Linked DNA regions of Lytechinus pictus. Each later gene encodes a partner of the first gene's protein in a complex. Links are inferred from orthologs where the notes say so. Each region holds a gene or a part of one and is shown on either strand. Other genes may lie near its edges.

Region 1 (11,057 bases):
CATGTTACTTGTTGGCGGGGCTTTCTGTCTGGTGGACTTGGGTCATAGAATCATATTGACTTGGGTAATTTTTACATTTATATACATGGTAGACTTCTGTAGTAAGTAGTAGTTAAGTCATGAGAGAGGGCGCTATGATATGAATGTAAGAAAAGCCCAAGTCTTGGACTTGGGCTTTTCTTACACTCATACCAGATTTTCCTCCTTTATTTAAGGCATTTCTGAGATCAGATGATATCAGATTTATCATCTATACACACGATGAGTCATTGTATACGGAACAATTTCCCATATTTAACTCAATTTCACAAAAAATTGGACTTGGTCTGTTTTTATATTCAGATACTCAATTATTCAACCAATCGTTATTATATAAACTTGCCTGGTGGTATTATGGTATACTAATTTGCGAAATTATATTCAAATCTAGTATTAAAAGAACCATTACATAGACCAGACATTTTGACTTTGAAAGCTGAAGTGATTGGTTGGGCATGGGCAAAAGTATGTGCCGCATCTCTAAACCAGTATTTTCTGCCGGTGTCTTTCCATTGCATGTTTACACATGAATGTCATGTTCAGAATTATTTTAAAGATTTGCAAAAGTGAGACCATAGGCTTTCATTTTCTTTTGTTTATGTTTATCAAGTGTTCTCTGAATGAGAAAGTAGGAAAGCTAGAATCAAATTCCTTTACCTTGTCTGTTCAAAATATCTTTACACGTATGTCTTGTCTTCTTTCTTACCTTTTTTATTGGAAGTTCAGCGTTATTTTATGATTTTTCCATTTTCTCACCCTTTACCTCTCTTCAATTTCTGTCTTCTTTTATGCTACAGTCTATGCCAAATGTTTTATGTTGTCATTTCAAAGAAAGATTAAAAAATGTCCAAGGTTGGAGACTAAAGAGTGGAACTTGGAATAAAGGTAGAAATTTATTATTCTGTATAGTACAAAATAGAAACCTAATGATACTGATTATTCAAGAACTAAGTTTTATTTGTGTTATTTTGTGAGAGCCTTTTCTCATATAGGATACTTTGAAACATATAGGATAGTGAAAGAGGGAGAGGGGGGGGGGGTGCGTGACAGTCAGATAAGACTCATTGGCTATTTGAAGAGAGAGAGAGAAAGTAAAAAGGGGAAGAGAGAAAGAGGGGGTTCTGAAAGGGGGGGGGGGGGGTCGAGACCAAGGGCATAGTGGAAAGGGGGGGGGGGGTGGGTAGTGGAAATGATAGGGTGAGTGAATGAGAAGAGTGGAAAAGTGAAGGAAAAAGGAAAAGTAACAGGAGGGTTAGTGCAAAAGAGAAAGGAGGAATACTGGAAAAGAGAGGAAGGATGGGGGGGGTGAGATGATTAAAAAGGAATATGGAAATGTGAAATATAAAGAAATGGGAGACTTGTCCTCGCCACAATTTACTCGTCAAGTTTCCAATTTGAACTTCAGTCTTGAAATTCAACCTTATTTGCAAATATTCTTTACAATTACATTCTCATTCCTTGATTAATCTTTCAAACTTTCCCATGCAGCTCTCATTTTTCTCCTTCCACACATCAATTCAGTATGATTATCTTTATTACAAAGATTGGATTACCATTTAACGGTAAATTGCTGATTTGTCTACTGCCACTCATCACATGGTCTACCTTCATTTAGTCTGCCATTCCGTCCAACATTTCGTCTAACAACCGTTTGGTCGAATCATCACTCTGAGCATTTCGTCTCACAAGCAGTTGGTCTAATATCCATTTTATTTTCATTCATTTTGCCCAATTTACACTAGTCTTATTCCAATTAGACCAAACGGTATATGGACTAAATGGCTATTGGAACAACTGGCTAGTAGACAATATGGCGAGTGGACGAAATGGCAATTAGACCATGTGGATAGTGGACGATCTGATTATAATAGACCAAATGATTGTAGACAAATTGGTAATAGACCAATTGAAAATAAACCCATTAACATGTATTGTTTAGGTAGACCTTCAAACATTTCAACTTCTTCCTGATTTCTTGTGGATGTTCTGTGTTGCTCGATCTAGTCTCCTGTTCTTCTTGCTTCCCTCTCTTCGGAATGTTTCATCCACACATTTTCAGTTTCTCTTTCTCAAAAGTTTATCTTCTTCCAATTTTCCACTGCCCATTTTCTCCATCTTTCATGGGCTCCATCTTTCAAAGAGTTGTGATTGATATGGAAAGCCAGGAATCCAAAAACCTTGACAATCTGTTATAGAGGCGAGCCGCTGCCTCACAAATATGTGTGCTGCTCTGCTTGAAGAATTATGACATTGATGGATTTCCATATTTGAGATTTATCAGATTAATTACGACTCTTTGTGAGATGGGCCCCAGATCCCTCCTCATCTGGTAGCTTTCCATCTTTTTTTACCTTCTTTCCTGGGCCCTGTGACTAAGTTAAAAGCGATTAAAATGAGCTGATTCTATGATTATCATTCAATTTCATTGGCCGAGAGTAAACTTGTTATAGAAAGCATGCATTTGTTATTATAACAAGTCTTTATGAAACATTTCCAGCAAGCTTTTAACATTCACCATTCTGTTCTCATGATCTGTTCCTTACTGTTCACTTTTCTTCTTTCTTTTTTCTATCAGCCAACCTCCCCCCTTTCTTTTTTATACTGATTTTTCTCTCTTGCTGTCTTTCTTGCACTTTCTTTTCTCCATATGTATTCATCTCTCTTCAAGATTAAAGCCACAATCACATTATAAATTACCTACATGTATGACCAACTCAGATTACACATGAACATTCAGTCATTTTTTTTTTGGTTTTCTGTTTCCATATTTACTACAATGTATATAAAGAACATTCATGTTAACAAGTTCAATGTACATTTACACAGTTGTGACTTCTGAATCAATTAATCATGACCAAATAAAATCAAAGAAAAAAAAAAGTTGTAATATTAACTGCTATTCTCCGGGTATCTGAAATACTGGGAGGGGGGGGGAGGGGGTTGCACTTGTGTCAAATAATGGCCTTTTAATACTGACATGTATTCAGTAATTGGAAAGTCAGTCCCACTTTGTTGAACACAAAGAAAATGTTTGGGTACATGTACATGTAGCACAAAAATATGTTCCAGAACTTTATAAAGTTGACGTTGTCCATAACTATTAAAGAGCTTTACACCCCCTCCCCCTTTGGCTTATCAAAAATATGTCCTCTCTCATATTTTCATAATGTCTTTCACGACATCCAATCGGTGGCTTGGATTAAAGGTGGCATGGTGTCATAAAATTGTGACAATGTTGACTTCAGTGAATGAACAATCTGGTTAACAATAACTCTTCAGAAAAATATTGTAAGTTTTGAAACTTGATATGATTTTAACAACAAAATGAACAAATCTCCCTCATGTAGAAAATAAAGATCACCAGGGTCCAAGGGGAACTACATAAAAGTGTCAAGCCTCTAATAAACTATAATACTTCCCCATCCAATATTACATGTACCTGATGATATCTGGGCCGTTTTATAAAGCTGTTCGTAAAGTTATGCACAACTTTATGCATGACTGGAACACGTTCTTAGGCGCTATAAAATCCGTTCATTTAGCGCAAGAAGGGGTCACCAGTCGTGTGTAAAGTCTTATGAACAGCTTTATGAAACGGGCCCCTGTAACACAAGTTAGCGATTAATAGCTACATGTACATGAAATTACCAATCAAGACCATCGTTGCATGCGCAATTTTGCTCGGTAGACTGACTAGGAACCAATCTTTCAAGTTAGCGATTAATCGCTAACCTTTGTACTACAGCAGGCCCAGGAGTGCCATAAACTTAAACATACTACATGTACATAAATGCAAACAATGTCCGACACATAATTAAAGCTGAACGATACACAGGTGACACTACCCAAGTCAAGTGTCTTGGTAACACAGAAATCTGTTGCACTTAACACAGGAGAGACATATTTTTCATATTCAGGAGCCCATTTCATAAAGCTGTTTGTTAGTTACGAATGACTTTACGCACAACTGGTGACCTTTCTTGTGCTACACTATCCACATGTAACTGATTAAGCACCAAGGAACATGTTTCAGTCGTGCGTAAAGTTGTGCGTAACTTTATGAAACACCACCCTGGTTTGAAATTTCTGGAGTTTAATAGGCTTACTTGACTTATTGAAGGTCAAATATGGAGAATGTACTGCAGTGTATCTTGAGATAAAACCTGGGGAGCGTTTCATCATTCGAAAGGACTTGTAAGACGTTTTATCAGACAAGTACTGATTTATCCGACAGTTACTATGTTAACAGTGCCTCTCTTACGATCATAACCAAGGAAAGTTGTCGGATCCGACAACTTGTCGGACGAAAATGTTGATGAACTACTCCCCAGGTGATCGTTGCGATACTGTAAACTGTACATTTGATTCAATATGTGATAGCCCGCAACCCTACTATACAACATAAATCAACAAATTTACCAAAGCTTTGCAGTTCTGGTGTAGCTGAAAAAATAAGAAAATGTTTGAGGAATGATGTTTCGTAAAGGCATGGCACTTGCCAGTATTCATTTCCAAACCAACGTGTCCTCAATCGCTGCCATCCACAAATCCAAACTGTTGGCAACAGAGATGCGGTAGAGGACATTAATAACGGTATTTGGTAGAGTAGTCTTTGGGTGACACCACCAAACCACGTCCTTTCCTCGCGCCCCTGTACACTGTCTCCACAATATCAATAACCTCCTGTTCATCGTCTATAGCCCAGTTGATCTTATTATTGTTACCGGTACCCAGATCTATCATTATATGCTTGTTCCTGAAGAAGAACATCATCGTGCACGGGTCGTACAACTCGTACATCTTGTTAAAATCAGGCACTTTTGTGATGTCAACAAGGTACACCACAGCAAAGTTTTTCACCTTGTCGCAGATCCGGTACAACGTCTCGTCCATCTTCATACACGTCGGGTCCCAGTCGTGACCGAAGCGGATGACGACGACGCGATCCTCCTCACCTAGGATGGCCTGGTCGACCTGCCAGCCGTTGTGGAGATGGCTAAGCATGTAAGACATCTTGGCTTAGTGGTCGTCTTATTTTCTTCAGAATGCAAAGAGATTGAGGAGAGTAAACCCCCACAACGGTTCAGTTGCGAACACAGCGACTGCTTCAGAGAGAGATAGAAAATATGATTTTTGAGGGGTGAACAGCCACAGTTGATAACAGGAGTAAAGACGTCTGTCTTCAGATTATCAAGAAATTCAGGAGAGTAAACCCCCCTGCAAATTACCAAGAAGTCAAAACATGTGAAGCTGCTAGCTCAGGTTTATCTGATGATAGAACTTCCTTCAGATCAAAATCTGATCTCTGAAGCAGGTGTCATCGAGAAGAAGATATGCTTGGAAGACCTGCAAGGGAAATATCAAGAAAATATTTTAAAAGATTACACTTTTTAGCAAATAATCTAGAACGACTAATTTAAAAATAGAAAAAAATCTATGTACCTTTAATCGAAACCAGCTGTACAAGCTTTGTTCGTTTGTCAATAATACGGTCTCCCAAAGTCTAGACCTATACAATGAAAAGATTAGACACTTCAAGGACTTCGCGTAATGCTTTGCGTCGATTTGCGTGTAAAATAGTTAAGGTGCACACCTTAAAGGTCAAGTCCACCTCAGAAAAATGTTGATTTGAATCAATAGAGAAAAATCAGACAAGCACAATGCTGAAAATTTCATCAAAATCGGATGTAAAATAAGAAAGTTATGACATTTTAAAGTTTCGCTTATTTTTAACAAAATAGTTATATGAACGAGCCAGTTACATCCAAATGAGAGAGTCGGTGATGTCACTCACTCACTATTTCTTTTGTTTTTTATTGTTTGAATTATACAATATTTCAATTTTTACGAATTTGATGATTAGGACCTCCTTGCCTGAAGCACAAAATGTTAAAATAATGGAATTCAACGTGTTCAGGGAGGAATGAAACTTCATTTCACATGACAATGATGAGAAAATCAAAATATTTCATATTTCATATAATAAAATACAAAAGAAATAGTGAGTGAGTTATGTCATCAGTTCCCTCATTTGCATACGGACCGAGATGTGCATATAACTGTTTTGTGAAATGAAGCGAAACTTTAAAATGTCATAACTTTCTTATTTTACATCCGATTTTGATGAAATTTTCAGTGTTATGCTTGTTGGATTTTTTTCTTTTTATTCAAATCAAGTTTTTGTTGGGGTGGACTTGTCCTTTAAGACTAGGCACCGGTGCCTAGTCTTTCCCCAGTAGTATACTAATACTAACCTCGCAATATGTGTGAGTGGTCTTTCCCATGTCGTGTCTTTGATATGAATATAAATCGTGCGCCCTCTTTAGGCCAAAAATTGATGTTGTTGCCGTTGGACAGGCAGTTACGTCAAGAGCAAGAAAATATGAGGAACAGGGTGCTAAGAGAGGTCACCAAAGGGACTTTCGTCGATCAGTAAGTGAAATGGAACAATTTGATGATTTTAGATTTCATAATTTCATGCAATCGCATGCCATGGAAGTTGCATGCGGCATGCCTAGATTTTCCCGTGCCCAGCGGCATTAGCCAGGAGGCTTCTACTAGTTCTAGAGAGTAAAAATTATTTACAAACGTATGCTTACTCTCTACGAAGCCAGGGATTCCATCCTATTCATCTGCATGCCGCCAAAAAACTTTCGCCCCCGAGATTTATAGTTTCATTCTATAAAAAGATCTAACTTTGTTAGACCTAATCATGAAATGGGATACAACTTCATTTCCGACATTTCTACGCTATCGATTTATGAAATATGAAAAGACGGAGGAGACTTGCCCGATGTTTACGCCGCCATCTTGTTTCCTATTGTTCTTCCCCAACGTTACTGACGCACGCGTTAAAATGAAAGTTAGTATAGATCTATTACTAACCTCGCACTACTCATATACCGTCCATAGCGCTAGCGTGAGTGGAATGATTAAGACTAAGAGTAGAAAAACTAGAAATCTCGGGGGCGAAAGTTTCAGGAATTCAGGTTTTTTGGCGGTAAAAAACCTAGATCTACAATACATGCATGCAGATGAATGGAATCCCTGGCTTCGTAGAGAGTAAGCATACATTAGTAAATGAATTTTACTCTCGAGAAGCCTCCTGGCTAAGCGGCATGTCATGAACCCTTGAGTGGATCGAATCTCGACTCGAGCTCCGCAACGCAGCTCAGCCTCAGTGCCGTCTCTGGCGACTGGGCCTGCCTGAATAGCGGGGCTCTGGCAGCAGTTACCGCTAAGCAGGCCCGCTGTGCTGCGGCTCAGCTCTGATTGAAGAAGTCGAGTCCTGCGGTTGGGCTTAATATTTTTTCAACAGTGTAATACTCTCAAATTTAATGAAATAAATGGCACACATTGTAGTTTAACACTCACCCTATAATTTAAATAAATTTACAACATGATAGTTACTTACAGGTTACACAGTCAAAGTTTGGACACGGAAAAGCGATAAGTTCCCTCTTCAAGTCTTTTTATGACTATTGACTTGTGAAAATTGTTGCTACATTAACAATGATGATATGATCAGGCAGGCTGGGACGTAGATGGCGCTCGACCTCTTCAAAATCAGACGTGCTCCCTCCTTTTTTCCCCTCGTGTGGTAGCTAGGCAAAATGATCTACCCACAGGGGGGGGGGGGGGGGGGGGGGGGGGATGGGTGGGGTGAGTTACAGGTGTTCAACCCCCCCCTTCAATTTTTTTTATACCCATCTACCCATCCCTTAGAATTCAAACCTTGCTTGTCAATTTTTTGGAGGGGGTAGGAAACGACTTGTGGTGAAGACTCCCCTTCGGGGGGGGGGGGGGGGCGGGTTATCAGCATTTCATTCAGCTTGAACCCCCCCCCTTTTCAAAAATCCTGCATACGCTACTGTCCACCCATTAAAAAAAAGAAAAATAAATAACTTCTGGGAACACTTGAGTAACACAGGGGTGGATTTAGGATCTTCCAAGAGGATCGAGTAGGGCATTTTCCCCAAGGAAAATTTGACAGGCAAAAATTAAAAAAAGGTCCGCACTTGTGTACGAATGAATGACATTTATATCCCCATTAAAATAATTGCTGTTGATTCTTACAGGGTGGGGGGGGGGGGCACACTTGTGAATGCACAACATATTTCATTAAAAAATATTAACTATGACTCTAATTCTAGATCGTATCCTCTCTTTTTATTCCTTCCCATCTATTTGTTATCTCTCTCTATTTTACTCTCCCACTATATTTCAGCGGTGCCATAAAATTTGAAAATTAGTTGAGAGTGAGCTAGACTCCCGTAGGCAAAGTATATAACTTAAGTGTCAAAATGAGTAAGATCAGTAGAAATGGACGGAAATGGAACACAATTTTAGAGAGAGAATGGACGAAAACGAGTGACTCTCACTCTAAATGAGCGAGAGTTGGCAACCCTAATATTTTTTCTTCTCCCTTCCTTCCTCTCTCTTCCCTGACCCTTTCTCGCCTTTCCTGATATCCTCGATCTCTCTATTTGTTCCCCTTTCTCCCCCTCCCTACCCTCAAGGGAATACAACACACCGTTACAACAGAAGCAAGACAAAGAAGACAAGCATGTATTCCATGTGATATTCATCAAATCATTCTATTGATCATTTCTACAGAAATGATTTTAATCGAGAATTTTATCAATTCATACAACAGGACGCATTTTCATACCAATCTGATCACACTCTATACTGGTCATTTATTCCTCCTAAAACATTAGATTTCATGACTTGTCCTTGCTCATTCACCAATTCTTTTTCTGAGAAATAGGGTAAGTTGGCCGGTTGTCTGCATCCACAAATTCACAAAAGATGTATCAAATTAAATACAGGACTTTTTTTTTTACAAATATGATCTCAAAGTAGATGATTTAGAAATTGTCAATTTGAAAAATAGTGCAAAAACATCTAAATGCATATAGAGGTAATGAAATAAATCAGAAAAATGACCTGCTATCAGATAGTAAAAAAAAAGAAGAAAAAAGATCACATGCTATTACTTCTTTACAGACTGATATAATTATATATTTTCAATATCAAGGTGTTTCAAGCTTGCAATTAATGAAAAATTCTTTTATAATAAATTCTATACATTGAAATCTGCCACTGTAGTGTTAAAATTCATTATTTCAACCAAGGTTTATACCACTATATACATATCACTATCAAATTTGAGATTCATTTACAAACAAGATATACAGAGTGGAGAATGAATACACAACAGTAAATTTACATTACATTTCATGTATTGAATACAATTTTCACGACCATTGTACTAAAATAGAAAATGAGGAAGAAAATAAAACTAGCTATGATATTACTAGTTGAGTGAGAAAACATAAATCAATATAAAAAAGGTCGCATGGCATTTCTAAGAGCATGTACACGTGTAAACAGACTGAGACAACTGACAAAAAATACATTCCAACAAAAATACATAACTGGAAAATGTTAAGTTGTAGCATTGCTTACTTGCTAGACTGTGACAATTTGAGTAAAACTCACTCTTATAACTAATTTGATTGATGAAAATGAATATGAATTCAATGCAAATAAACTTAGGATATTTCGTGTGGCTGACTTGAAGATGATGTATCCTTTTCTCTCTACTTACATGTGTTTTCTGACTAATCAAATGATGGTGATAATGGTAATACTAAGATTAAATTTTCATGCTAAAATTAAAGATAAATTCCAGTTGTGGGAACGATCTCAAAATGACTTTTTACAGAATTTAATATAATGATCACCAAAGTGTCTGTTTGTATGAATAAAAAATATGTGCCAAAGGATTCTGGAAGAAATTGTGTAATTGCTGAGAAATAAGCAAAATAAGCGCAGATTCGGTCACTTCTGTCGGGTCTTTATTCCAGCAATAATAATACACTGTCCCACGTGTGCCTATCTGTGTTGGCGATCTTCAGTGTGATCGTTTTTTAGCTAGATATTATGATTTCACAAAGTTCAGTGTATGTAACTGTACCTGATCTAGATCCACAATGATATATCAATACTTTACCTTGGTTTTACAGACTTTCTCACGAAATCAGTGTTTTACGGCAACTACGTTCATTTACATGTAGCTTTAAACTGAAAATCAATGAAAATGAATGAACGGTTGATGAAAATGGAATAAGGTGAAACTTAAATGGTGACAATAATATGCATCATAATAAAACATATTTTCATTCAATGTGGTATCAAATATATACACCTACTTAAATATTCATTAACAGAATTCCCCTACTCATGGCTTAGTAATAGAAGTTTTCATTACCATCACCCTTAAATAAAATTTCTAAATGACTTCTTGCACCCAACAGAGTAGATTTGGTATTACATTCAAAAGTTTCTATCAATAAAAACATTCAACCTTTTTTAGCTCTGTCAAAGGTACAAACAAATTTTTCATTATAATAATTCTTGTTTGGCTAAGTACTAGTAGTTGATCCCTACTACAAGGTGATTCTCATCAATTTGTTTTCTAATCAATGAATGCATAATATTCAAAGTTCTTATGAAGCGTTAAGAGACGTTAGATGATATTGTGATATATAATACTAATAATAATAATATAGGGTATTTATATTGTGCACATATCCACCTTGTTAGGTGCTCAAGGCGCTCCTATATTACCCGGCTAAGCTAGGCGTTCATAGCGCACACAGCTTTTTAAGGAATTACTTCCTACCGGTACCCATTTACCTCACCTGGGTCGAGTGCAGCACATTGTGGATCAGTTTCTTACCGAAGGAAATTACGCCATGGCTGGGATTCGAACCCACGACCCTCTGTTTCAAAGTCCGAAGACTAATCCACTGGGCCACAACGCTCCACATGGCATACGAGTGCAGAATATTGTTATTATTATTCTAAACAGCAAAAAATAAGACTGGAAAACCAAACCCTTACCAAATGCCACAAGAAGACCTATTGCAATACAATTATACATATAAAAATTACAAAACATACTTGAAACGATTCATATAGCCTAGGATAGAATTTATTACACATTTTTG
Region 2 (10,318 bases), on another chromosome or scaffold:
CAAGACGATTGATTTGAGACTTGAAGTTAATTTCACATGTTTTAACTAGATTATCTGAATTACAGTGCACAATTACGACATGGAAGACCATTGGGATGGATTTCAAATATAATATGTAAGTGAGTTGATAACATTTGGTTTTGCATCTTTCTTTTTTCAAGTTGTTTTGAGATCGAGAATTTTTTCTTTCATTTTAATCATCATTTCTTGTTTCTTGTCTGTCCACCGCAATTTTTTGTAGTCCTATGTTAAATGTTCCCCTTCAGTACACTGATGCCTGAAAGTATGAATCCGAAAAATGCACCCCCCCCCCCGCGTTCATCCTTTCTCTCGATCCCTAACAATAACATTAAAAAGGATAATAACATAAGCTGATACTAGATAGAGTTTTGACAAGTTATTAAAGTCGTTTTTTTTTTTTTTTGGAGAGGCGGGGTGGGGGGGGGGGTGATGTAATTCCCATTCCCCCCCTCATTTTTTGTTTTTATTCGTGACTTGATATCCTTGCCTTTACGTGATTTCCTATGCATGCTCAATCCTTGAAACTTTACATAATTTTAAAATATTTTTACAGATCCATAGTACACCATACAGAACTTTTTTTAAAGGAGCTAGTCTCAAGTTTGTCTCTCTGTTTTGTTTCCTTTTCTGTGAGTTCCTTTCTTCTCATTTTGTTCCTCTCCTGTACTAACTTTACAACCATTTGCTTTTGTTTTTGCTCCTCTAGCCTCACTTTTTCCCCAATTTCATTGCATTCATTATTTTGTTTTCTCTTTCATCTACAGGAAATTTTTGTAGCCAGGAGGCTGTATCATTTGATGAAAACATCAGTTTGGATTCGACCTTACCACAGAAATGTTAGGGGCCCTATGAAGCATTGCATCCGCTCTGCCAAACTGCCTCTCACCCGAGATATTTGTAGAACTACACGATGCACTTTCTGCAGCAAGATCCAGCTAAAGTTGTGATGAACTAGCATATAATAGATTTCTTATATTCTTAACATTCATCATTCCAGTTCTTAATTGATATTTCAAAAGTTTAATAAATCACTTTACATGCATTTAATATATTTCTTATATTCATACCATTCATCATTCCAGTTCTTAATTGATATTTCAAAAGTTTAATAAATCACTTTACATGCATCATATTGAGCTGTACACTGAATCTTGCCTCATAAGATCATTTGGCTTCAGCTCTACATAATACCCCCCCCCAGCAATAAAAAATGAAAATCTAATAAAACAATAGAGCTGCAGGCAGTAGCGTACCTAGGATTTTCCACAGGGGGGGGGGGGGGCAAAATCGTCCGCCCAAAAATTTGACAAGCAAAAAAGTCTTCAACCACAAATAAAGGATTTCGTACTTTCGGTCTTAAACTTCAAAGGAGGGGGCCACCGGTGGCTCATCAGGGGGGGAGGGCAGGGATACGTCCCTTGCATGGGTTGTGACTCGTCGGGGGGGCAGTCTGCCCCCCCCCATAGGTACGCTAGTGGCTGCAGGTCCACCCACCCATCTGTATCAACCATTACCTCCAATGAGAATACCTAATTTTAAATTTTATTGAGCAACTTCATTAATACTGTTAAAATATCCAATTTATATTTTTATGTGGAGTTAATTAATGTAACCAATGCCAACAAGGAAAAAAAATAAAATGAATACTTTCATGTGTCAGTGTGGATTTGTCATTTCTTTTTTTAATTTATTTTAATATTCAGATCTGTATGTGTATCCTTTTTCAACACTAAGCTATGTTCCTTCTCTTCTCTACTGCATGTGCCAAATTGTTTGTTTTTTTGCTCATACTTCTTAAATAAATCATGAAAAAATTACATAAAGTCTAAATAAAAATATTTAAACAGACATACAAGAAAAAAAGTGTTAGTTTGGGGTGATAGAAAATGTTAGAAGACAGTTGGGGGGGGGGGGTGAGATAAATCAATTGTTTCTTTCTTGTCAATTTAAAAGCTGCAATTCACATTTGTGAATAATTAAGTAGTTGGTAGAACAATTCCTGCTTAAAGTTGCAGTCTGAATGGAATGCAGGATCGCCAAGAACAAAGCCCAGAGGCAGAGGTGGGGTTGGTTTTTTTAAGGCGGCATTTCCATCACGCTTTCTTGGAGCCACAGATATTCGACGGCTCATGCAGCCCAAGTCTGTTCATTGTTGGGCCCCTCGACTTCAGATCAGTAAGTATTGCCATGCTCAAATGGAGGTAAGAAATTAATCTGAATGAAAATAAAAATATGAAAACAAAAGAAAATTAAAATGATAATGAATTAAATTAGATCTAGGCCATTCATTTTTAAAATAATAAAAAATTTAAGTTTGATTAGGCCAAAAGAAATCATGTTACATGAATTTTCAACAGAATATAATCATCAAATAATAAATCAAGACTAAAGTACATTACCTAAAGTAAAGGCTACAATTAGGTTCGAGAAGATTCAGAAAGTTGTTGCGTCATTTGCCATTTTTTTTCAATATTTTATTCAATCAAAATGAATGTGTGTCAGTGTGGGATGTATTTCTGATTTCTACATTTGTGTCTGGTTTTCGATTCCTAATTTATAAAAAAGAAAAAGTTTTTTTAAATCAAAGAAATACCAGACATATCACGGTAGACGGTCTGCTACACAAATTCCAATGCGCAGGACTACACACCGCGGGCAACCAAAAACCCTAGCAGCCGCCATAAATTAGCCCGCGAAACGCGTCGCCAAACTTCCCACGAAAATCCCACGAAACAAATAGCAAGGGCGTTTAACATTCGTCCGTGGCAAATGGTGGCAAGAAATGCTGCCATGAATGAGGTAAGAAATGAAAGCTTACGACTTCAATTTTCGAGTAGCATATGTATTTTTAGCGTAATATGTCTGATAATTCCATGAAAATAACATATAATGATGATTTGATGCATAAACTGTACTTACAGACTGTTTTAGTGCAATTTTTGTTCCGATCTCGACCCTCCGTCGCAAGAGCTTACCGTGCAGTATAGCTGAATGCATTGGGAAGATGATGTCATCGTTTTCATTCCCATTGATATACGTTTACCATCCTAGACAGGAGACTCAAGTAGGGCTTGCCGTTATTGCTCGCACCGGCTCCCGAAGCAGCTTGTCGCCATTTTCGTACGCGAAAATGATGACGCGAAAATCGCGCCCTCTCGCGCTAGAGTAGCGTACCTACCATAGTAAAGTAATTTAGTACTTAGTAGTCGTATGTTGTGGACACCGCACCGTGCACTAGATGTGGCGTCGCAGCACGCGCGACCCACTGGATAGATATCCACTGCCAAGCGTGGTTCTTTGTGTGAGGTTAGTATACTAATACTAACCTTGCACTAGTGTGAGTGATTCCTGCCTAGCTTATTTTAAATGAAGCCTAAAAGTAAAACTAAAAAGTTAAACTTCAAAATTTACACTAAATTAAAATTTTAACTTTTTCTTCCTCATTTTTCTAGTCTACTTTTCTGTAAGTTTCTATCTTTTCTTCTTTCTAATTCTATCTCCCCTCAGCTTTTCTCTTCTTTGAGCAAAAGCCAACGTCTGTTCGCGCATTGTCATTACTGTGACTGTCCATTGCCATTTTTTTTTTTTTTTTGATTGATCGATTGAGAGCTGGCGAACGCGGCTTACTTAATGACGATAAATTCAATAGATGGGACTGAAGTGAAGATAAATGAATATTAACACAGTCACAACAGAGTCTTTGTTTATGCAATTCAGTATATTTGCAATTCAATTGAATATTCAATTTCTTCCAAATTCAAGATTTATTGCAGGCGGTACATTGTAAAATCAAAATGTGAGAGTGAAATCGTAAATAGACCTACCTTTTGAGTCCTTTTGGCAAAAGTTTTGGTTTTAGACCATCTGCGAATTTATGATATCTCTGAAAGACCCAATTGCAAAATTAAATTAAAGGACATCACAATTCACATGCGTATGCACAGTGAAGCTCGACTCCCGTAGACTCTAGCTGTATATATCTCTCTACATTCACCCTCTCACAGGCCATATTCCCATCCAAACTATAGGCCCTATGATAGGGCCCCTATCTTATTTTGAGTGAGAGTTTGTAAAGAAGTATGGCTTATTTTTTATTCATTTATTCATGGGCTAAAATAATCTTGAGGGGCATCACGTGGGGGCAAATATTTTACGAAAATGTCTTCTTCTTCTTCTCCTTCTTCCTCCTCCTCCTCTTCTCTCAGAACGGACCACCTTCTGGTCGCTAGGAAGCGAATTTGGACCCCAAAATAAAACAAGCACATATAATTTTGTGACAGACTTTGAGATACTTATTTAGAAAATGAATATACCTACAAAGGCTACATTATTTTCCTCAATTTTGTTTTCTTTTCTCCTTTTATTCATGATCATGGATTTTTTTCCAGTTATTTTTTTTTCTCAGTAGGTGGCAAATCATAAAAAGTAGTATGATTAATGTGCATTTTTTTCTTCCTCTGTTTGGTAGTATAATCCACGGCCTTCCAATGGCAGGGGCCTCGAAATGATTTTATGAGAAGGGAGCTGGTTGGCCAAGAAAAATTTGAGTTGCAAAAAATAAAAAAAAAATAATAATAAAAAAAGAAAAGAAAGGTGGGGTATTCAATCCGAAACTTAGAGTAGAATTTTGTCAAATCCCCGTTCCCCGAATAGAAATTTGTATCTCTGGTCTATATTTATTTGCTATAGGTCTTTATGTGGTAGTATAATCCACCTTCCCCCGATTGGGTGAAATGGCCGCATCGCCCAAAATGAACTGAAAAAGAGGGAAAAGATCGAGGAAAAAAAGAAGAGGGAAGAGAAATAAACAGGGGGAAAAGGGAGATTGGAAAAAAGAGGGATTAATATAAACCAGGGGGAGAGTAAAGAAAGAGATTTGGGAGGATAGGGGGAGAGAAATAATCATGGGCGGAATAGTAGTAGACCCTAACTCCCGTTTTATAGGAACTCGGCAGGACAGCATATTTACTGGCGGGTAAACGCCAAGCTGGTATATAATCAATTACCTAGGAAACATTTTACGTCTAGGTTAATCAGTCATAGTGGTTGACATTGTAGACGACAGATATTACTCTCGGGCCTTTTTATCAAAGTAGAAACAATGGCAGTATGGGGATTCGAACTCACAACCTTCCGATTATGAGTCCAATGCTCTAACCACTGGACCACACGACCCGTGTTTAAGTTAAATATTGTGGCCTGTGATGATTTCATAAATTTATCACCCTTACTCCCGATAATTATGATCCCATTTTTTTATGTTCAAATTGTTTGTGGGGCGCCAATTTAACTTGATGATATTTGAAATGGGGGCACCATTGATCCTAAACTTGAGAGCACTGGTGTAAATCCGGTCTGACTGTCCGAGCAGTGGGGGAATGATAGTAATACATGTACATGTATATTGACTTGAAAATTCAAAATTTTCGGGGCACCCTCACAGGGCTATGCATACGGGCGTATCACAACCGTGTACATGCACCCCCTTCAGTTAAAGTCATATCCCATTTTTTTTTCGATGGCTGTGGATTTGTTGTTATAAATAGGGCACGGTTTATATGAATATGCGAGCGAGTAAGCGAAGCGAGCGAGCAAATTTTCTATAGTTGGAAGACAAAATGATGACCAAAATCGTCTTTCAAGGGGTGTGTAATTATTGGAGAAATGGTTGCCTCAGTAGTTAAAAATGATATGCATATATTATTACAGAGGATATGATAAAGGTAAATTATCAATAACGTAAACTTAAGAAATAAAGGAGAAAGAAATATGATAAGAGTAAAAAAGGATTAAGCATCCCAGATTTTTTTCAATGAAAACTCATTTTTGCTCACTGATTAATGGTGGGTTGAGGACGAAAAAATGGGATCATAATCATCGGGAAAAAGGGTGCTTTATGAAACCATCACAGGCAACATTAAACTTAAATAAACATGTAAATAGCACAATTATGCAAATAAATAGGAAAATATTACAGAAAGGAAAGATTTTGAATAATATCTGAAAGAAAATATAGGGAGATCCAAAATTTTGAGAAAAATTCATAATTGAAATATTCAATTGATTTGGTCAATGTCGCCAGTAGGCCTAACTCATCGTACACGCCAGTGTATTCAAAGCCTGTTTCAAATGGTTTATGAATTATGATCAAAGTTATAAAGATATTTAAAAGTAACATATCAAACATTTTCATAAATGGACTTGTTAAACTCTCTTTTAATATAGGGACTTTTCATGACCAAATTCTTGTAAGAATAGAATGAGCGGAGCGAATTCGGTATTTTACGCATACTAGTAGTTTATAGGAACACTAACTCTTGTATGATTTGTATGCAACAGAGTTTTTTTTCTTCAGAAACAAATGCCTACCGCCCCCCCCCCCCCCCCACACAACAAAAAATAGGGAAAACAGATACCTTGATTGATATGTGTCAAACGGTCTCAAGACTCTCATGTCTGAATACATCATCCTAAAATCCAGCTCACGTTTCGCGCATACAGTCCTTATGAAATGCCTAATTATGTTGAAAAAAAAACAACTAACAAGTATTAATAAGCTACCCCCCCCCCGCAGCCGCCACATCTCGAAGGGCGATGTCCGCGTAGTCTACTGTGCAAACCCTTCACTCGAGTTAAGAGTTTGATAGTGCAGTCTATTAATGCCTTGTGAAATGATCGAAGGCCTCAATTGAAACAGCGGGTGAAACAGCAAGTTTTGTATCAATATGTGCTAGTCTTTGCGTGGAGATCCACTAGCTTGTTGATCAAAGTTTCAATCAGGGTCTGTGCCTGCAGACTATAATGCCCGCAGGTGAAAGTCAAACACGTATAAATCCATCCGGGATTCCCCGAAATACGACTTTGAACACCGTGCGTGCAGTATACCAGCAGCACCGCGCGCAGTGCATGCATGACAGCTAGCTAGATACTCGGTGATGGGAACGTCATAGACCGTTTGCTAATATTTTTGGAGTGGTTGGTCGAGAATTAAGAAACATGATTTCCACCGTCTGGTTGTCAGGGTCTTATTAATTATTATCTATCTTGGTGACATAGTCATAGGTCCATGATTTGACAGATCTGCAGGTCAGCTAGTACTAGTATGGCCAGGACCGGGGCCAGGTCGCCAGGAGCTGGCACCAGGCAGGGAGATTCTCCAAAAACTTTGGTAGCCCAAATACTGTCCCCAACTCTTCTCGCTGAACCAGGGAGTTTAAGGAGGTAGAGATCAAGGTCGGGTGCATCCATGGAATTCGGCGCATCAATTTCTATTCTAATCCATTCTAATGCGCGGCAACGTATATGTAATTGTAAGTATGAATTTGAACTGTATACTATCAATGTTGCATTCAATTACGGTCTTTTTAGTTTTAATTTGCAAAGATTGTATTCTTTTGAAAATATCAAATTTCTATGTTTTTATCAAACAATTTTATTGTTTTTTTGTCCGAGGGAGCGATAAAACTTAAAGGTCAAGTCCACCCCAGATAAATGTTGATTTAAATAAATAGAGAAAAATCAAACAAGAATAATGCTGAAAATTTCATTAAAATCAGATGTAAAATAAGAAAGTTATGACATTCTTAAGACAAGTTTCGTTTATTTTTTACAAAACAGTGATATGCACAACTCAGTGACAAAACGAGACAGTCAACGATGTCCATCACTCACTATTTCTTTTGTTTTTTATTGTTTGAATTATACAATATTTCATATTTTACAGATGTGGTACTGGTAGGTAGATTCACCTTTACAGCTGGTATCTAGCTAGACCTGATTTTTAAGATTTTTATTTCTATTTATATTTTGTAGTTGTTTATAATATATACATGTATAAAATATTTGTATCCAAAGGAACTGATGCTGCGCTAGCGCCGTGAGCGTTTCTGGACGGTGTGTGCGCTCAATAAGATATCAGTCACTATTATTATTATTATTACTGTAAACCTATTTCTTTTTTTTTAAAGGAAAGCAAACTTTTTTTTACAGGTGGTATTTAATCAAGTGTCTTATGATTTCTGGCTTAGACCGGAGGCTTAGAGTTAGTGAGTCTCTTTATTGACTTTAAGTTGACTCTTGATGGGATATCAATTAAGCCAGACCCTTTTGTTTGTGATATTTTCAAATTGAGATAAGAAAATGAAGGTAGCTAGTGATATTGATAAAGATAGTTGATTGATTATCTGATTGATTGGTTGATTGACTTGAGTATTCATTCAAAAAGTTGAAAATAGGCTGAGTTAGTTGGTTGGTTGGTGATGGAGTAATGCTCCTCAATCTGTAGATTATCTGCACTAGCTAGGGCGCCAGGTCGATTCCAAGTTCCAGATTTATCTATGTGGATGGATTAATGGATTTGCTTATTAATTCTCTTTTCAATAATGTCCTTGGCATTAGACTAATCTGACCTGTCATGTAGCGAAGTGAATACCTCCACCAAAATATTGTGCGTCTTTGTCCTTCATTGTATGCAAACTTAGTTGAATAAAGAAAACAGAAGCTCAATTTGGTACATTAAAAGAATCTAATCACTAATAATAATAATAAGAGAGAGAGGGAGAGAGAGAGAGAACACGATAAGATAAATTTTGTGTGCGAAGATGATGTGATTGCATCACTCGGTAATGTTTTTTTTTTCAAAACCTGTGCTTTGATCATTTATCTTACAAATTTAGTGATTGCATATCAGAAAGCTACTATCAAAGATTTTAAATATCCTAAAAGGGGAAGTTCACCCCGACAAAAGTTTATATACTGGTACAAAGTAAAGAGAAATAGCAGAAAAACATTGGTTTTTATTGTTTCAGTATAATTATTTCAACATAGGCCTACAAATTACTTCACACCAGCTACTGAAAGAAGAAAATTTTTACTAATAAACCATTAAAAGAGTTGAAATTTATGGTAGCTGCTTGTATGTTATGACAAAAATAAAAAAACTTCAAATTCTAATATTTAGCTTTTGTCCCTCAAACCTTCACCAATATTTTCTATTATTTTTTCTGGTATTTTTAAAAACAAACTATTTGTCAGGGTTTACTACCCCATAAATTATTCAACCAATTCCATGCATGAGAAATGATTTTTGATTTGTAGGGCTTTCAGAGACATTTTATAGTGGTATTTATATTCTATTTAGTTACCTTTTTTGCAGCTCAGTAATCAAACAATGTTGGTTTCAGTTGTTGTTTTGCTGAAGAGGAATTTTTAATTTCTTGGTTTTCAATAGTAATAAGAAAATATGCACCTTTAAAAATATTTTTTTATTGGTGATGAGTTCTAAAACTGAAAGTAAAAATTAGATTAATGCTATAATATAAAGAAAAACAGTTTTCATACAATAAACTATTCACATCAGTTCAGTTATCAAACAACATTGGTTTCAGTAGTAGTTTTGCTGAAGAGGGATTATTAATTTCTTGGTTTTCAATAGAAATAAAAAATATGCACCTTTAAAATTTTTTGTTATTGGTGGTGAGTTCTAAAACTGAAAGTAAAAATTAGATTAATGCGATATGAAGAAAGGTTAACAGTTTTTATACAATAAACTATTCACATCAGTTCAGTAATCAAACAACGTTGGTTTTAGTTGTTGTTTTGCTGAAGAGGAATTTTAAATTCTTGGATTTCAATAGAAATAAAGAATATGCACCTTTAAAAATATATTTATTGGTGATGAGTTCTAAAACTGAAAGTAAAATTTAGATTAATGCTATATATATGAAGAAAGTTTAACAGTTTTCATACAATAACCTATTCACATCAGATTATGAGAAAAGTGGGAAACTCTTGGTAAATTTTTTTTACAACAAGAATGTGACAATAGATATAAAAGAAAAATGTTAAAAAAGATATGTGTGTGGGAGATGAGATTTAGGTATATATTTGTATTAAAGTCAACTGTATTTTGTTTCTTGGTACTGTTTCTTGGTATTGTGTTTAAAGGGGAAGTTCACCCTGACAAAAAAGTTTATAGTAAAAATAGCAGAAAAAAATGAGGTTTGATATATTTTTCAACTGTTGAAGCATGCTTTGAACTGAAGCAAGCTGTAGATATTTTATTTCTTTGCAAATTTTGTAATGCTGAAAAGAGGAGTGGAATATTATCTTTTGGGTAGAAAAAAATAAAGAAGTACACAAAGATGTTTCATTCTAGGTAGCAGTGTTCAGAAACCCTGTGGGTCTTACTGTTATACTTGCTTTAACAATAGTTGTTGGGGCCTTCAGAGCAGGTTTCATTTTTAAATAGCATGTGAGGAAAAACTTTTGTTTGTTCTTTAATAGAGTTAAATAATTT
Region 3 (10,257 bases), on another chromosome or scaffold:
ACTCTAGTCATGTTTTGTAAATCATGAAAAGGATGAGTATTAATAATGTGAGCGCAAAGCGCGAGCAGAAAATTTTTATATACGTTTTGAACTGGTACCTGTTGAAAAGGTACCTGGTAAGGACTGCTTGCACTTAGCCATGAAGGCGTTACATATTTCAACAATTAAAAAATGCGAGCGCGAAGCGCGAGCTGAAAAATTTCTTAAATTTTAATCAATTTTTGTAATCGTGAACAGGATAGCTATATTATTCAACAATTGATGCGAGCGCGAAGCGCGAGCAGAAAAAAAATCGAGATTTAGACCTAAAAATGGGCCACTCTGTTCATGTTTTGTAAACAGCCATAGGCTGATCGAGGGCTTTTTACCGTGTTTAAATAAAATAAATAAATCAAAATCAATGTTTTGTAAACCATGAAAAGGATGAGTAATAGGGGGTCTTCCTACATTAATAATGCGAGCACAAAGCGCGAGCAGAAAATTTTTGATATTGTGATCTGAAACTGGATAATGATTTAAATTGAGAACAAATTGAGTATTTGAATAAACATGCGCGCGCGTGTTCCATATTTAGACCTAGAATCTAGGCATTTCTAAATACATCTTTAATCATGAAAATCATGAAACTTTGATATTCCGAGCTGAAAAAGAGTCAATTACACTTTTATATTTCAAGCACTTTGTAGGAAAATTGTAAGGTGGATATGGATCGCACTAAAAGAGCAAAAATTTTCATTATTATCACTTTGAGTTTTGACATAGGACCGGGACATCCTTAAGCGCGAGATGAAACAAAAGGGACAATTTAATTATTAAATTAATATCATATTTATTAATGCCCAATGAGGGCGCGAAATCTGATGATATTATGGCATAAAAACTGGAAATTTCACTTTGTAATTATGAATAGGCTGCATCAGTTAATATATTTTTAACCATTAATGCGAGCGCAAATCGCGAGCTAAAATTTTTGATAAACTGTCATAAAAAGGGGATTTTAAGTAGTTTGTTGTATAATCAATATTGAAACATACATAACTCGCCAATCAAAATGCCAGCTTGCAGCGCTAGCTGATACGTCTTGACAATCAGACTGACCTGAAAAGGGATATTTTGACAACTTTATAGAATACACGAAAATAATAGGTACCTGATAAATCAAAATTTGCGAGCACGCAGCGCAAGCAGCAAATGTTGATAAAATTATTCAGACCATAAAACTGACATTTTTACAGAGCACTTTTTAAAAATCAATTTGTAAATCACACAAAATAATGAAAGTTCGATTTCTGAGGTGAAATATGTTTTGTATATTGACTTCCAAACTTGATATTTGAGCTCCATATTGAACAAGATATGTAAATCACCTAACAGGCAATGCGAGCGCGAAGCGCGAGCGAAAATTTTATATAGTGGCACGAAAGATTCTTTTTATTTTCCAAGTCTTCCCCTCATTTTATTTTATGCACTCGTCGTCCTTCTCTTCTTTTTATCTTCTCTTTTCCCTCCTTTTTTTCCTTTTTCCTTCTTTCTTTCCTTTTTTTTCTTTTTTTGCTCCGCCAATAGGGGGGGGGGGGGCTCGGCCCCCCTGGATCCGCCTATGGGGACAAGGGGCGGGAAAATTTGACAAGCAAAAAAAAGGTTATCATCCCAAAAGTATGGTCATCTCGTCCCAAAATACATGTTTTATTTCGATTTAGAATGATGTATTCTTACCATCATAAAATAGTAGGGGGGACTAAGCTTGTAACCGATTTTGCAATCGGCAACCGATTCCATTCGATTTCACCACAATCGGCAATCACTTGCCGATCTTCGATCATGCCCCTTGAAGGAAAAAATCGAAAAAAAAAAATCGGCGTAGATCTGGTTACAGTGCGTGATCGCTCAGAACATATTTCAAGATTGTTTTTGAGGTGCTAGCTATTTAGAGGTCGCATTATTCAGGGAGAAAGACGCGGTATTATCTATGGCGATGTTTAAGAGGAAAGATGGTGATAGCTGATGCCGCCGTGAACTTTGAAAGGTCGTATTACCGACGGAGCTCACTGCGTTACTCTCTTACATCGTTTATGATGATATACATTTTATTTTCAACCTCGTGGTGATAGCGGATGCCGCCGTGAACTTTGAAAGGTCGTACTATTGACGGAGCTCATTGCGTTACTCTCTTACATCGTTTATGATGATTTACATTTTATTTTCAACCTCGTGGTGATAGCGGACCCCGCCGTGAACTTTTAAAGATCGTGCTACTGACGGAGCTTACTGCGTTACTCTCTTACATCGTTTATGATGATATACATTTTATTTTCAACCTCGTGGTGATAGCGGACACCGCCATAAACTTTTAAAGACTGTACTATTGACGGAGCTTATTGAGTTACTCTCTTACATCGTTTATGATGATATACATTTTATTTTCAACCTCGTGGTGATAGCGGATGCCGCCGTGAACTTTGAAAGGTCGTACTACTGACGGAGCTCATTGCGTTACTCTCTTACATCGTTTATGATGATTTACATTTTATTTTCAACCTCGTGGTGATAGCGGACCCCGCCGTGAACTTTGAAAGATCGTGCTACTGACGGAGCTTATTGCGTTACTCTCTTACATCGTTTATGATGATATACATTTTATTTTCAACCTCGTGGTGATAGCGGATGCCGCCGTGAACTTTGAAAGATCGTGCTACCGACGGAGCTCACTGCGCTACTCTCTTACATCGTTTATGATGATATACATTTTATTTTCAACCTCGTGGTGATAGCGGATGCCGCCGTGAACTTTGAAAGGTCGTACTATTGACGGAGCTCATTGCGTTACTCTCTTACATCGTTTATGATGATTTACATTTTATTTTCAACCTCGTGGTGATAGCGGATGCCGCCGTGAACTTTGAAAGGTCGTACTATTGACGGAGCTCATTGCGTTACTCTCTTACATCGTTTATGATGATATACATTTTATTTTCAACCTCGTGGTGATAGCGGACCCCGCCGTGAACTTTTAAAGGTCGTACTATTGACGGAGCTCATTGCGTTACTCTCTTACATCGTTTATGATGATATACATTTTATTTTCAACCTCGTGGTGATAGCGGACCCCGCCGTGAACTTTTAAAGATCGTATTACCGACGGAGCTCACTGCGTTACTCTCTTACATCGTTTATGATGATATACATTTTATTTTCAACCTCGTGGTGATAGCGGATGCCGCCGTGAACTTTGAAAGGTCGTACTATTGACGGAGCTCATTGCGTTAAGTACTCTCTTACATCGTTTATGATGATTTACATTTTATTTTCAACCTCGTGGTGATAGCGGATGCCGCCGTGAACTTTGAAAGGTCGTACTATTGACGGAGCTCATTGCGTTACTCTCTTACATCGTTTATAATGATATAAATCTTCTCTTCAACCTCGTGGTGATAGCGGACCCCGCCATAAACTTTTAAAGACTGTACTATTGACGGAGCTTATTGCGTTACTCTCTTACATCGTTTATGATGATATACATTTTATTTTCAATCTAGTGGTGATAGCGGATGCCGCCGTGAACTTTGAAAGGTTGTATTACCGACGGAGCTCACTGCGCTACTCTCTTATCCCCTTTATGATGATAGACATCTTCTCTTCAACCTCGTGGTGATAGCGGACCCCGCCGTGAACTTCAAATTGATTTGAAAACGCTAGCTACCCAAAACATTTAAATAACATATTTCAAATCATCGTGCGTGCTTGCGTCTTCTACTACATTTTAATTGCACTTGCGACTTTAAGATGATGCGTCGTAAGAGATCATTCCAATAATTCTAAATCGCTAGCACCTAAAAATACTTCTAAAAGATGTCCCGCCGATCGTTCATTAACCTGTGATCTATGAGAAATATTTTCATTTTATTTTCCTTTGCGCCTTTGCTCGGAAGATGCGTCTTTCGTTTATCTTTCTAATAAAAATCACTCGGTTTATTTTAAAGCAATAACACCTCAAAACCCCTGGCTTTAAAACACGTTCCAAACGATCGCGCATGTTGGCGACTTCCATTCCAATAATGCATTCGTCTTTGTGACTTTGTCAGGAAGATGCGCGCGACCGCGAACAACATTTTGATGTATTCCTTTGTTTTTAAACATCGCCGATTCGATTTTCGATTCGATTTCGATTTTAGAAGCTTAACTGCCGATCCGATTTTCGATCTGATTTTTGATCCGATTTACAACATTAGGGGGGACATTTGATATTGTGTCCCCCCTACTATTTTGAGTAGGGGGGACACGTCCCCCCTGTCCCCCCTGGGATTTCCGCCCATGACCATGCCATGGCGCGCCACACACTCATTTCTGTCTTCAACATTTCTTTCAAGTTTCAGTCCAGCTTCAAATGCCTGCAAATTTTCATCTTATTCAAAATAATTACATGAAAATTAAGACCATTTTAGCCCCACGAGTTTTATTGGGTCAACGATCTTGGGCTCAGATCTGCCGCCATCGAACTCCTTAACGTTACTCATTCTCTAACACTACAGTAGTACAGTTAACGTTAGACAGCTGGCAGCCGTCTGTTTCGCGGAGTTTTTCAACATTTTTTGATTTTTTTAATTTCTCCTCATACACATATGTATTTGGTGAGTGGAGCCAACGTAGTTCAGCGTAACAACCAACATAACAGAGACCGAAGCTTTTGGTCTAAGTTAACGTTAACAATACTTGGCCAAAGCCACCCAAGGGTTCATTACATGCCGCCGCGCACAGAAAATTCAAGCCATAGAAGTCGTGTGTTGTGGACCCAAGAAGTGAGATCCCAGCACGTGCGACCCACAAGTTAGAAATCCACTGCCAAACGCGGTTCGTGGTGCGAGGTTAGTATACTAATACTAACCTCGCAATACGTGTGAGTGGGCCAAAGCCAAGGCAAAGGCAAAGCTAAACCAGGTCTCCGTCTGCAACAAACACAGAAGTGTACAAATGGGACTACGACTTATCTCAGCATAAAATAGTTCTTACTTTTACGGCTCTATGTATTGAGACAAGTCACAGATCATGAAAATATATTTAGACAATGCCTATTCATTACAATTCCTAATTATTGTAAAACCAAACGCTTTTAATTACTTACCAGTGTAATATAGTGATAAGGATCTGAAAAAAAAAATCGTCTGCCAAATGATGTGAAATTATATACAGTAGCCGGTTGCGCGGTTCGGTTCTTAACTTGCCAAACGGTAGTTGGCGCTAGAGCAGAAGTCGACAAAGGTTAACATTGAGTTTGACGTTGGCTAACGTTAGTTTTTCTTTTGTATTGCCGAACGTTAGAATGTTTTTGGGGGTCTTTATATTTATCATTGTTGTTATAAATGTAAGTTTTAATAATTGGGAAGACATCGATGGTTTGATGGAAGGGAAATGGATATCAAAGCGTATAGCTATCTCTTCAAGAACAATTTTTTTTTAGTTTGTGTTTTGTTTTCTTTCAAGAAAACATGGTAATGATAAAAATAACATAGGGCCTATATAGTCATCACCACTCCTCCACAACCAGTATATCTTTTTTATTTCTTCTTTTTGTTATCTACTGGAAATTTGTTAAGGAATATAATGCTGATTATTTTCAAACATATATTTATTTTTAACTTTTGGGAATAAATACAATTATATTGGCATCACCCTACAACTGAATGGATTAGGCCTTTATGATACTCTGCCCCATCATATTTTCATGTTTATATCATGTTTTCCTCATCATATCCATTCACAGTAGGTAACCATCATCATCATCATGTTCATGATGATGATGATGATGATGATCATCATCATCACCACCACCATCACCATCTTCTTCTTCCTCCTCCTCCTCATCATCATCATCATCATCACCACCATCACCATCATTTTCCTCCTCATCATTATTATTCACCACCACAGCAGCATCATCACCATCATTTTCACCACCGTCGACCACTGTGACCATCATCATCATCATCATCCTTCTCTTCCTCATCCTCATCATTATTCACCACCACAGCAGCATCATCACCATCATTTTCACCACCGTCGACCACTGTGACCATCACCATCATCATCATCCTTCTCTTCCTCATCACCATCACCATCTTCTTCCTCCTCCTCATCCTCATCATTATTCACCACCACAGCAGCATCATCACCATCATTTTTACCACCGTCGACCACTGTGACCATCACCGCCATCATCATCATCATCACCACCACCACTATGATCTATCACCATTATTAGCTTCATCATCTTCATTATCATATCTTCATATCCTTATTTCTTTATATCTTACACAAACAACAAAATAGGTGACACACTTAAAACATTTTATTGGCTTAGAACACTTTATTCCAAATATGAACAGTGAAATGATCAGCAATAATTAGCAGTTCTAAAACAACTTGAAATTTGAATTACATAAAGATGAGAATAAAAACTTACAGACCAGAGTAAATATCGAGTCCTGAAGATATACCACTGAGAACTATGTATGAAATCAATTTCATTACCATGCTTACTTTCTCATTCTGTTAGCTCCTTTTTTTCTACAAAAATGAAATGTGTGCATGCCGACTGCATTAATGTTCTGCAAAGATCTCAGTGTTTCTAAAAAACATCACCTCTAAATTCTAATGTGACCCATATGTCTCTTCATGTTTGGTGCCTTGTATTAAAATTCATTCAATATTAATTTGACTTCCATCATTTAAGAAACTGCCTATGACTTCTGAAGTACATTTTTGTTATATTCTTTTGATAACAGCTCACATGGGTCATATTCTCCCCCAAAACAATAATTTTATTTGGGGGAGTGTTGACATATTTTGTACTCAAATTAATTCCACTGTAAATTTGCAATCAATGATTTAACTTTTAACAAAAGCTAAGAAGAAGATACTTGCAGTTACAAGAAACAAACCACTAATAAACTACAATTTTGCAATCAATCGCAAGACTTATCACTGATTGAACTACAATAAAAATAAAAAAACTTGAGCGAGGAAGAAATATTAAAGAAAGGTACTAACAAAAAGGGAAAGAGAAATAGAGGGGATATCAATATTGTTCAACTTAAAAACAAAATACAATTAATGGTTTTTGCAAGAGCAATGGACATGACTTAGTCTTTAAACTTAGTCTTCTCTTATCTTCTTATATGCAATGATATATATATATAGTTAGCGTATCCAGCATCAGCAATGACCAAGAAATGTATGGGCCCATGCACAAGCATAATAGAGTCACTATTGTCCCCAGACAATTGGGCCCATGAAATGCTTTGTAGGATCTGATGCTGGATACATGCCTGGTATCCAAATGTTTGCTATACAATCAAATATGTACAAGAAATGCACAAATAAAATAATGTACAATTTGATAGACCCCATAAGCTAGGGGAATGTCACATTGCGTTCTGTACACCATCCATAATTATCAAACTTCAAGCACCTCATGGCCATACGCAGCGGGGGGGGGGGGGGGGGGGGGCAAACTTTCATTTTTTAACTGAAAATTCACCAAAAGTACATGTATGCACAAATCCTTCTATTTCATTTAACAGAATGCAGAGGCGCCCCAATGACAAGCTCAGTCGCTTTGCTCTCTCGAATTAAGTTTATTTCATTGAAAAAGCCAAAAAATTCTGCTTACGGCCATGAGCATCTTAGCAAAAAATCATTCTTTGATACTTAATGACACTTATTATTAAAGATAATAATAATATTACCAGCATGCTTAATATATAGCGCATATCACTGCCAAATGCGTCCCTATGCGCTTAATTGGATATTATTACCCTGGCTATAGCCCCACAGCCTATTACAGAACGGTGGCATTTCAAGGAATAAATTCCTGCCAAGTACCCATTTACCTCACCTGGGTGGAGTGCAGCACAATGTGGATAAATTTATAGATGTGATACGTACAATTAATGTTCAAATAATAGTAGCTTGTGCAATCTGACCCAAGAGGGGCATGTCACATTGCGTGCTTTACATCATCCAAGCTTGATAGTTTTGGAAAAGCACCTTTCACGAGGAAATTTCATTCTTTGAAGCTACAACCTCCCTGTTCTGCAGAATCCGAGGTACATGTAACATTGAATGGCAACAGATGGCAGTCTACTCATTAAAAGTAGAATTTTTTTTTTTTAGGGTTGACTAAATTACAGTTTATGTCACACTATTCTGATATTGAGTCAATCAATTTCTCAAGTCTGAGTACTTCAACTCAGAATATATTCATCTTGGAATCCATTCCAAGTCATATTTGATTCCACTAAAATGAATGAGTACACATGGAATTTCATACAATACACACTGAACTCAATGTCCAAAATATTAAGAACAGTATTAAACAGGAAGTTTCCTGAATTATTCTACTTCTTTATACAGCTAACTCATAACATGCCTGCAAGGTTAGGATTATTACTTTTTAGGGGCCATTCTCCCCCCCCCCACAATGGTGCAATTGCTGAATTTTTTTAGTATTTGAGAAACCACATACACTTTCATGTACAATGAGCAAGATTCTATGGACCCATCCAGACTCAGGGTGGAAAGCAGTTGTGCGGCCGAGCAAAGAACGGCGATTGACTAATTTATACCAAAGAAGTGTACATTTTAAAGACCCCCGGTGTAGACCATTACACCCACTAAAGGGATGCCTTTCAATTACAATATGTGTAATATTGGTATTACTGCTCATGCATATCATTTGTCGGTATGTTATTATTATAACATCTTTTTTTTTCCTTGATGATGATTTCCACACTAGATCTGAATGGGTTTTTATGGTAAAAGCTGCAAGTACATGTATCTATTCATTTAAAGAATAAAATTGACAGGTAGATCAAAGGAAAAGGTAGCAAAGAGAAAGAGAGAGAAAGAAAGAAACAGAAATAGCTGAGAACAGACAGTGAATAAAGAGGGAGAAGGGGGAAAAGAGGGAGAGAAAGAGAGAGAGAATGAATTAGCAATGTCAAGACAAAATTTTATCAACTCACAACTACATATGGTATACAGAACAAGCATATAAATATAATTTGTTCATTAATGTACATTATCACTTTATTGAAATCATACCTTATATCTACAAAAACAAAACATTGTGAACCATTTTAAATAAAAGATGGGTGCATCATCACTTCTACAGTTCAAATCATGTCAGGAATAGATTCAATCATCACCAAGAAGTAATTGGGCACCATTCAAAGATTAACAAATTGCTTTATAAGTGAAATAATTGATAGGCAACTGCTATTACATTTATTCTCTGAAAGTCCTGAAACCTTTTAGATATTTCTTACTTTGCAAAAAATATGGATGCAATAAATGGTTGCAAAACAAACATGCTCTTTCAAAATACATTCTGAGTAGACTAGTAGAAACATAGCAACAAAAGTTTGATATTCTTATTTAAAAGCTAATTATGAATAAAAAGGTACTTGAGAAGGTCTCCGTTCATAATCTGTGCAATCATATTCCATGAAAGTCGCCATAGCAATAATAGATCACTGACTTTAATAACTTGAAAATAAATTGAAAACAATGATTTTCTCGGAAACTGCATTCTTTCAGCTCAAGCAGTATGCCACTCAAGTTTAATAAAAGTAGAGACAGTGATTTTCCGTTTAAAAAAAAATTGTATTTTCCGTTTCAACTTGATCTAAAAATGGAAATTTTGTTTTGTCGCTGAAAATGTACACAGCAAAAACGTGAATTCCGTTTTGCTAAGGTGAATTCCATTAATTTTTACATGAAAAGTATAAGAATCAAACAGAATTTCTGTTTTATTTACAGAATTTCTGTTTTATTTACCGGTAAAACGGAAAATCTCTGTCTCTATAAAAGGTGCGCACTAAGACATTTGTGAGGAGTAACAGAATTTTTACAGAAAATATTGATTATTAGATAAGTACATTAGTAGGTAACAACTAGAATAATAATATATAATAAACATCATCTAGATTTAATACGAAATCTAGATAACAACAAGATAAAAAATTTGAAAATTCTATGTCTGATTATAAGGAAGATTATTTCCCTTTAACAAACATATAAATATAACTCCAAGGTCCTAAAATGTAAGATGAGTTAAATGTGTAATTTTGTTGAAGAGTTAACATTTTTATTATAAACCAAGGAAACTATCTGAAAATCCATCTACAAATAACTTCACGCATCTAGACATGCCTCTCAATATCACATTGAGAAATTCTAACTCTGACCTTGGTCTAAACT

The links.
Region 2: the proteins of thioredoxin-like protein 4A (region 1) and polyglutamine-binding protein 1-like are in contact, whole or in part, in a crystal structure (PDB 4BWQ), measured with the Homo sapiens proteins. The link is inferred for Lytechinus pictus from reciprocal best matches to the Homo sapiens genes TXNL4A and PQBP1. Residues at the interface, in NP_006692.1 of Homo sapiens: Gly11, Trp12, Val14, Asp15, Ile18, Asp68, Phe69, Met72, Tyr73, Glu74, Met82, Phe84, Asn87, His89, Met91, Gly97, Asn98, Asn99, Asn100, Lys101, Leu129; in NP_001027553.1 of Homo sapiens: Gln241, Gln242, Arg243, Pro244, Tyr245, Pro246, Ser247, Pro248, Gly249, Val251, Leu252, Ala254, Asn255.
Region 3: thioredoxin-like protein 4A (region 1) and protein AAR2 homolog share a complex: the UniProt entries of both Homo sapiens proteins name them as parts of the U5 snRNP complex. The link is inferred for Lytechinus pictus from reciprocal best matches to the Homo sapiens genes TXNL4A and AAR2.

What each region holds. Positions count from the first base shown.
Region 1 is NC_087253.1:7,929,245-7,940,301, forward strand, and holds thioredoxin-like protein 4A, read right to left. Parts: upstream 5,144-11,057; 5' UTR 5,053-5,143; coding exon 4,624-5,052; 3' UTR 2,614-4,623; downstream 1-2,613. UniProt on the Homo sapiens protein: Plays a role in pre-mRNA splicing as component of the U5 snRNP and U4/U6-U5 tri-snRNP complexes that are involved in spliceosome assembly, and as component of the precatalytic spliceosome (spliceosome B complex).
Region 2 is NC_087247.1:12,956,428-12,966,745, reverse strand, and holds the start of polyglutamine-binding protein 1-like, read right to left. Parts: upstream 4,235-10,318; 5' UTR 3,846-4,234; intron 1-3,845. UniProt on the Homo sapiens protein: Intrinsically disordered protein that acts as a scaffold, and which is involved in different processes, such as pre-mRNA splicing, transcription regulation, innate immunity and neuron development.
Region 3 is NC_087252.1:7,317,056-7,327,312, reverse strand, and holds the start of protein AAR2 homolog, read right to left. Parts: upstream 5,229-10,257; 5' UTR 5,120-5,228; intron 1-5,119. UniProt on the Homo sapiens protein: Component of the U5 snRNP complex that is required for spliceosome assembly and for pre-mRNA splicing.